Linked DNA regions of Oryzias latipes. The protein of the gene in region 2 interacts with the protein of the main gene of each other region in a biochemical or structural test. Links are inferred from orthologs where the notes say so. Each region holds a gene or a part of one and is shown on either strand. Other genes may lie near its edges.

Region 1 (4,502 bases), on a different chromosome or scaffold from region 2:
TTTAAACAAATAAGCAAAGGGGGGATTGCATTTTCATTTTAACATCCACCCTGCAAATATTTTGCTACACATTTACCAGAGAACCTTTTGAAAATGAAATGTCAAATAATATTTTCTTTATCCTTTGAATTAAGTGACAGAATGAGCAGTGAAGAAGAAAAAGAAGTTTGGTGGATTGCTTTTTCTTTTTGCAGCTTCATTTTGATAACGAATAAGCATTTCTGGTACTTTATTTTTAATTGTGCTATAGAAACACTTCTATAAAGGGGTGCTGGCATCTTAATGCAGAAAATCATCTATTGTGTAAATGTAATTTCAGCTAATTGACCGGTTTGCCTTTCGGCTTCAGCCCATCAACCCTGCAGTTCTGGAGACTTTGACTTTTCAAACGTAAACTTCAGAAGATTCATCAAACGTGTTTTTCATAGAGACTCAGCTGCACACATCTCCAAAGAGCAGATCTCTGCTGAAGTTTGGTGCCATCATGCAAACGTCTCAGCAGGTTTTCAGAAGACGGCGGCGTTTCATCCGAGATAAATTAGAGGATGAACAGTCAGCGCTGCAACCAAAACCACCCGTTTAGTGAAGCAAACCTAGAGCAGTTCAGTCTGAACCTGATAGACCACAGCTGACGCTTCTTTAGGATGGAGGAGACACAGAAAAAAAGAGAAGGAACCACTGGAGTAGGAGCAAATGCCTCCTGAAGGTGGGCAGCTCCTCCCAGAGCAGAAGTTGAGACTCAGGTCACACAGTTCCAGAAAAGAGGCGAAGATGTTTTTTAAGAACAGATTTTATTAATTCAACACGTCAATAACAGCTGTTAGAATACATTTCTTTATGTTACAGTTTCATCGTCCTGAACAGACTCACACGTGGAACATGTTGGCCACAGCGGCGGCGTCCAGAGCTGCTGCTGAACTCAGCGTTTTGTCACCCAGAAGAATCACCAGGGGGAATTCCAGACGTAATAAAATAAGATTTTCATTTTATTGTCTTTATGAACATTTAAAAAACCAAACTCGTACATAATGAACTGTGAGCCACCGGGCGGCCATGCTACGTTCTGCATTTACAAAGAGAAGCCACTAAGAGAAGTAAAAGAAAAAAAAACCAGGGACCCCACAGGCTCAAACCATCTACGCGGCTCGGTCCCACCAACCATGATGTCACGAGACGCTGAGGAGATCCACTCCGGCCGCCTGACCCTCCAACAGACGAGGAGTTCTATGGACAGAACCTTCAGCGGAGCCACAGGAGCAGAACTCCTCGAACACCCGAAGCCTTCGTGTCTTCCAAACCGGAAGATCAGATTTCATTTGACTCCAGCTTCTTTTTCTAACCATGAATCCGCCTTCTTCTGCTGTGAAGGAAGTTCTGATCCAAATGCAACATGGAGATGCGGATGAGAACGTGTCGTGGACAAGCGCGACCCTCTAGTTGAAACCCTCAGAACCTAAAGCCCACGGCGAATGGAAACGGGTCACAAAGTGCAGGAACAAATGAAAACATGCAGAGCTTCCAAACGAGTCCTCTGAAGGTTTTCCATCAAAGTGCAAACATCTCTTCCACCGGGAGATGCGACGGCCTGAAGATTCACTCTGGGACTAAAACGGATCCTGCAAAGCCGGCTCTGGTGTGAGCTCATCAGCAGAGACAGGAGCCTGACGGGCGGGGCAACGGGAGGTTCAACTGTTGTGAGATGTGTGACGGACAACAGCCGCTCCACCTGACAGCAGGAGGTCCAGGAAGCAGAGCAGTGCGAAGAGCGCAGTGATGCAGCTGCAGAGTGACAGCCTCTGACCTTCAGACGTCTCCACTGACCCAAACGCGCAGCTCCGCCCATCACTTCCTGTCCACAAACGTCTTTGCAGGAGCCAGGCAGACCACATCCTGAACTTCAACCAAAATAAGAGCTTCACCTGTGAACCTGGATTTGGACCGAGAACAGGGTCACATCGTATGAAAGTCCAGTGTAGAAACATCTCAGGAAGTCTGCAGCTGCTCCAGAGCTGCTCTCAGATCTGTGGGCCGAGCTTCTGCGGTTGAGGTAGGTTTCTCCATCCGAGGACGCGTAGAAGGAAAGCTTCGGGGGGGTGTTGTGCTCTGCACCTCCATGAACCAGATGATCCTGAAACATCTGGTTAACGTTTGGACTGATGCTATGAACCAAGATCTCCACCTGACCTGCTCCTCAGACCTTCATGTCTTCTCATCTGATGTTTTCATCTTCAACAACAACAAAAAAGGACAGAGGCGGCTGGCTTACAACTTCCTGTCCATCACTAATGTGAGAAGAATGTGATGCAAACACTGAAGGTCCGCAGCGGCGGCGGACAGTCTGTACAAAGAGACGGTGAAGGGGAGGAGTCTGGAGACTAAGGGGGCGGGGCAGCAGTAGTCAGGAGATCAGTCTTTACAGCAGGAACGGGATGGAACGGGGTTTACTGCAAGCTTAAAGGAGGAGCAGCCCCCATTGGGACATGGAGACACCGCGTTCTCCTCCAGAAACCGGCGTTGGTTTGCCAGGACGCCACGAAGAGGAGTGACGCGCTGTGAGCATCAGGCTCCTTCTGCCCTCAGGTCTGAACCTCCATGCTCCTCTGCCTCAGTCTGTCAGGAGAACTGCAGGGTCAGTACGCCGTGACCAAGTCCTTGTCGTAGTTGTATCGTCCCCTCTTGGGGGCGGGGCTGTCGGCGCTGTCCTCAGTGTCCTCACTGTCCCCTCCAGCCCCACCCCCCTCCTCCTCAGAGGAGGAGTCCAGAGTCAGATCTACTACCACACCTCCTGCTGCCGGTGCTCCCGTGACTCCAGCCATCCCTGAGGAGCTGCTTCCGGGTCGGCCCGTCAGGCTGGTGCTGCTGTGGGCCGGAGAATGGCCGTTGGCTTCAGGACTGCCTGCAGACACAAACCCAGCAGGTCACGAACTGTAACGCGGCGCAGACGGCGCTCTAAGAAACGCGCAGACGCTTACATATGTCAACAACCGAGTACTCTGGAGTTTTACTGCGCTCCCGCTCTCGTTCCTTCTCCTTTTCATCTCTGATTGGCCGCCAGGAGCCGTCTGTCAAATACTCGATCTCCTCGATGTCCTCACCCGTCAGCTTCAGTATCTCTGAACACAACCTGAAACCCAGATGTGGATAAAAACCTTTAGGTCTGCCAAAGATCTGCAGAACCCAGACTTACAAAAACACTTCAAGTTGTCCTCACGTATAGACAAGGGAAGGTCAAAACAAACATAGCTTTGATTTTTTGTGGTTTTGACTTAAAAACTTGTCAAAGCCCGAGAGTGCAGATGAAGTTTTCAGTCGTAAATGTTGGACACAGCTTTCCTCACCCATCAATGGTGAGGAGCTCAAAGGGAGCCGGCTTGTCGCACACGGGGCAGGTCCACGTCGGCTTCTTCTCGTTCATTTGCAGGAAGAAGACGGCGTCGAAACACTGAAGATGGGCGCAGGTCAGAACTCGGCACGGCACGCCGAGTCGCATCTTCACCAGCTGGAGGAGACAGGAGGAGGAGAGTGGAGGTTAGTCATGGCGTTTTGAGGAACATCAGCAGCAGGACGTCACAGTGAACCACAGGAGGGACAAAGTCCCATGTCTCAAGTCCCAAGTCGAAACCAACAAGTCTCACGTCACCTCCAAGTCCTACAGTTGAATGTTTCGAGTCCTTTAAACAACAGAGTGTTCACATTCACATGCTTTTAGGAACTGGATTTATTCATCAACATTTTGCAGCATATCAGGTAAATTACCTCTGAGCTCATGCATCCAAGCAGATACATATGGACCGAGGAAGAGTTTAAAATGTTTGACTCCATAAAACCAAAACAAAAATAAATAAATTTAACGTTTAAAATTTCTGTCTTTTTTTCAATCCGAAATTTCACATTAACTTCCTGTAAAAACATATTTTTGACAGGAAGTTAATGGGGGACTTGTATTCAAAACAAAGTAAGTCGTATTCAGACAGAAATATTAAACGTTAAACCAAATGTATTTATATCTTTGTGCCCGGACTATGACTTTTTTCACACTGTAATTGAACAGGAAACATAATTAAACTGGTTAGAATCACATACATAAACTGCATTTAGAGGCAAAGCTCACAGAGTGGCTTTGGGGCGGTCTGTCTGTGTGAACTTTTCAGAGCAGAAATAAATGTCGCTCAGTCAAACAGTTCAAACAATCACATGAATTTGTGTTTCCAGTCGTGTCCCGACAAAATAAAGGCTGATGTTATTCCCACACATTTACGTGCAGCCAAGGTGCAGCGAAGATGCAGATTGCTGCGTTTCTCGCACGGTCCTGGATTTTGTGTCCATCAAGGCTAATGATGTTAGCCCGTGTTAGCCTGCCCTAAGCCTTCTTCCAGCTTAATTCTTCCACAAAAAAGCACCGACCACACGGATTAAATAAAACGATGAGCGAACAGGCGCTTCATAATATTCTTAACATTAATAAAAGCACGTTTGGAAGATCGTCTCGTATTACGGAGCTG
Region 2 (2,821 bases):
GATAAATTCTTGATGCTTATCTTTAAACGTGTGACTGGCAGCAATCCAGAAAGTCACAATTCGAAACAAAAAACAAACATTGCCGACTAATTTAAGAAGCTGCTGGAGTTCCATTTAACGATGACTCAACTTAGAATCCAAAATTTGTTGATAGACAATCTTGATAGACAATCAGATCTCATACTGATGAAAGATGTCTTACAATTGACAATTTTTAGCAATCTTTTAAACCCTTTTCAAGTTGATTATGTAGTTATTTGTAAAACTATAGTAAAAAAAAAAAAAACTCACTTTTTAGGACATAGTTTCTGCAGAGCAGCAGTAGTTCCTGACAAATTCACCTGAGCTGAGGGTGGAACTGTAGGTGCAGAAGTAACCCTCCACTGATTCGCCATTATTCCTTTGTTTAAATGCTCTTCTGCTAGCTTCCGTTGCTCAATATCCCATGCCAACATTGGCGGTCCATCAACATTGGTGAGTAATATTGGAGCTATAAAGCTTTCTACTCTGCAGCTAAGAACTAAGACCAGCTAGGAACACTTTGAAAAAAGATAAGAGTGGGACTTCCACCAATCAAAGTGTGCGTAATTTGATCAGTTGGTGTTCACATTTTTTGATAAAACACAAAATGTCATAGTAGCCTGTGTATTGGTCCTTACTTTCCTTTTAAGTAACTGCAAATAGCTGAATAAAGTTAATGACTAAGCAAAAGAGACATTTAATCATGAGTCATTTTATATGACATGTTTTCTTATTGTCATCTTTGTAGCTTTTGCAGACTCCAAAACCTTGTAAGTCATCAAGTTCGACATTTACGACAAACAATACAAACTTTATTCTTTAAAAAACTGGGATAAACACACGTTGAAATATTTACAAAACAGGAACAGTTGAGAAAAGATTTTTAACACAACATATAAAGGTTATGGAACAATAACGTTTCAACTGGCTTCTGTTTAACAAGGAAACTGTCTATTCTGTAAGTAAAAACAAAGAAAAACTGGATTTTTCTGTGATCCACAGATCAATTTAAACGTCTTCATCAGAGTCCGAGTCCAGTTTGTAGGCCACAGGTTTTCGCGCTCGTGAGGGTTTCTCTCGTGGCGCCACGGCAACAGGAGCCGCTGCTTCTTCATCAGAGACCTGGAAGCTATCATCTTCATCCCATTTCCTCGTTTTCTGCAGAATGAAACATTTCAGGTGACGATGACGTCTTGATTTAAACAAAAAGACAGTCTGGTGAAGTCCAGTGTGTGAACTGACCTTGGTGCCAACGCTTGCTTTGTTCTTCAGGCGTGACATGAGGTTGTCTGAGCTGCTGTCGGAGTCATGACTGCTGCTCTGTTTGCGTTTCACAACAGGTTTGGTCTTTGCCGCCTTTGCAGCTTTGCCTTCGCTCTCAGAGTCGCTGGAGTCAAAAGAAGGAACCTTTTTGGCTGCAGCTTTAGGCTTTGAGAGAACATCCAAGATGGACGGCTGCTTAGCATCTGTAAAAACAACAACAAAAAAACAAATAATGTCATTTAAGATGGCACAGCTTTCATCAGGCAACTCGGAGGAAATTTCTAATGAACTCCTGCGGCTCTGCAGAAACTACCTCCTAGAAAACAAGTTTTTGTTTTTTTGTGTTGCTTAGAAATTGCATTATCATAGTTCAAAGAGCACTGAGAACGCTTCCAAAATACATCAAAAGATGAATGGAATGGGTTTTTAAGAAGGCAAAAAGCTACTTTCACTTTTGTTTTGTTTTTTTTTCTAATTGAATACTGGATTTCCTGTAGATGTAACTCATTGATTCCACAGAAAAACAATCATTTTAGCCGTCTTTGCAATGCATTCTGTTTCTGCTCTTTGGTCTGTAAATACAATCCTATTTTAAAGAAATAAGGCTCCTGAATGGGAAGTCTCTGATCTGGTGGCCTCACCTGCAGCCTTCTTCTTTGAAGCAGCTGCTTTCTTGGAAGGAGCCGCCTTCTTTGCTGCCGCCTCTTTAACTTTAGCTGGAGCCTTTGAAAGAGGCTCCGAATCCCCAGACAGAGCTGCAACATTCCAGTAAGAACAAAACCGTCAAGTCAATTTGCTTCATCGCATTACCAGCAGTTATTATAAGGTAGACACTCACAGCTCGAGCTGACTTTGGTTGGTTTAACCGTTTTCATCTTTGGCACTTTTTTTCTGGAAAACACGACATTTTCTGTTAGTTTTGGACAGAAATGGATAGACATCCTCTGCAGTCTCGAACTCACGCCGGCTCTGGTGCTTTGACAGCAGGAGCTGGAGAGGCCACGTCGCTGTCAGAGAGGACGCTGGGCTCTGGCGCGAAGCTGGCGTCGTCGTCACTGAGGATGGCCTTCCGCTTTGGAGCGCGCGTCTTTCCCAGATCATGGAACTCATCTTCACTGTCAGACAGAACGTACTTTACCGGAGCTATAATGGAAAACAGGAGCCATGATTAGAAAAGGAGCAAAATATTCCAATTTAAGGAAAGTGAAAATCTGTATAGTTAGAGGCAACAGGAAGGACCTGTTCCAGTGAACGAGGAAAAAAATGGGGCTTTTTTTCAAATCCATTGAAAATGGCAGTTTCAAGTCCTAAAGCGGTTTCACCTTTGGTGGGACGGTTCACATGCTCCCTCGGGGCAACGGGGGATTCCTCATCTGATCCTGCTTCAGATTCCTCATCCGACCACGGATTCTTCTTTGGCTTCTTAGAGACGGTCGAGAACTGAAGAGTGGTTTGCTTCCCTTTGCTGGAAAGAGCTGGAAGAAAAAACGTCTCTTCAAACTTCCTAATAAATCGCCAGTTACACATGAAAATGTTA

Evidence for each region.
Region 1: of the proteins of top2a (region 2) and pias4, one has a biochemical effect on the other in vitro, tested with the Homo sapiens proteins (2 studies listed by BioGRID). The link is inferred for Oryzias latipes from reciprocal best matches to the Homo sapiens genes TOP2A and PIAS4.

The regions. Positions count from the first base shown.
Region 1 is NC_019862.2:7,817,062-7,821,563, forward strand, and holds the end of pias4 (E3 SUMO-protein ligase PIAS4), read right to left. Parts: intron 3,500-4,502; coding exon 3,339-3,499; intron 3,125-3,338; coding exon 2,973-3,124; intron 2,897-2,972; coding exon 2,631-2,896; 3' UTR 773-2,630; downstream 1-772.
Region 2 is NC_019877.2:4,655,472-4,658,292, forward strand, and holds the end of top2a (DNA topoisomerase 2-alpha), read right to left. Parts: intron 2,760-2,821; coding exon 2,607-2,759; intron 2,428-2,606; coding exon 2,247-2,427; intron 2,176-2,246; coding exon 2,123-2,175; intron 2,040-2,122; coding exon 1,926-2,039; intron 1,488-1,925; coding exon 1,264-1,487; intron 1,180-1,263; coding exon 1,030-1,179; 3' UTR 808-1,029; downstream 1-807. UniProt on the Homo sapiens protein: Key decatenating enzyme that alters DNA topology by binding to two double-stranded DNA molecules, generating a double-stranded break in one of the strands, passing the intact strand through the broken strand, and religating the broken strand.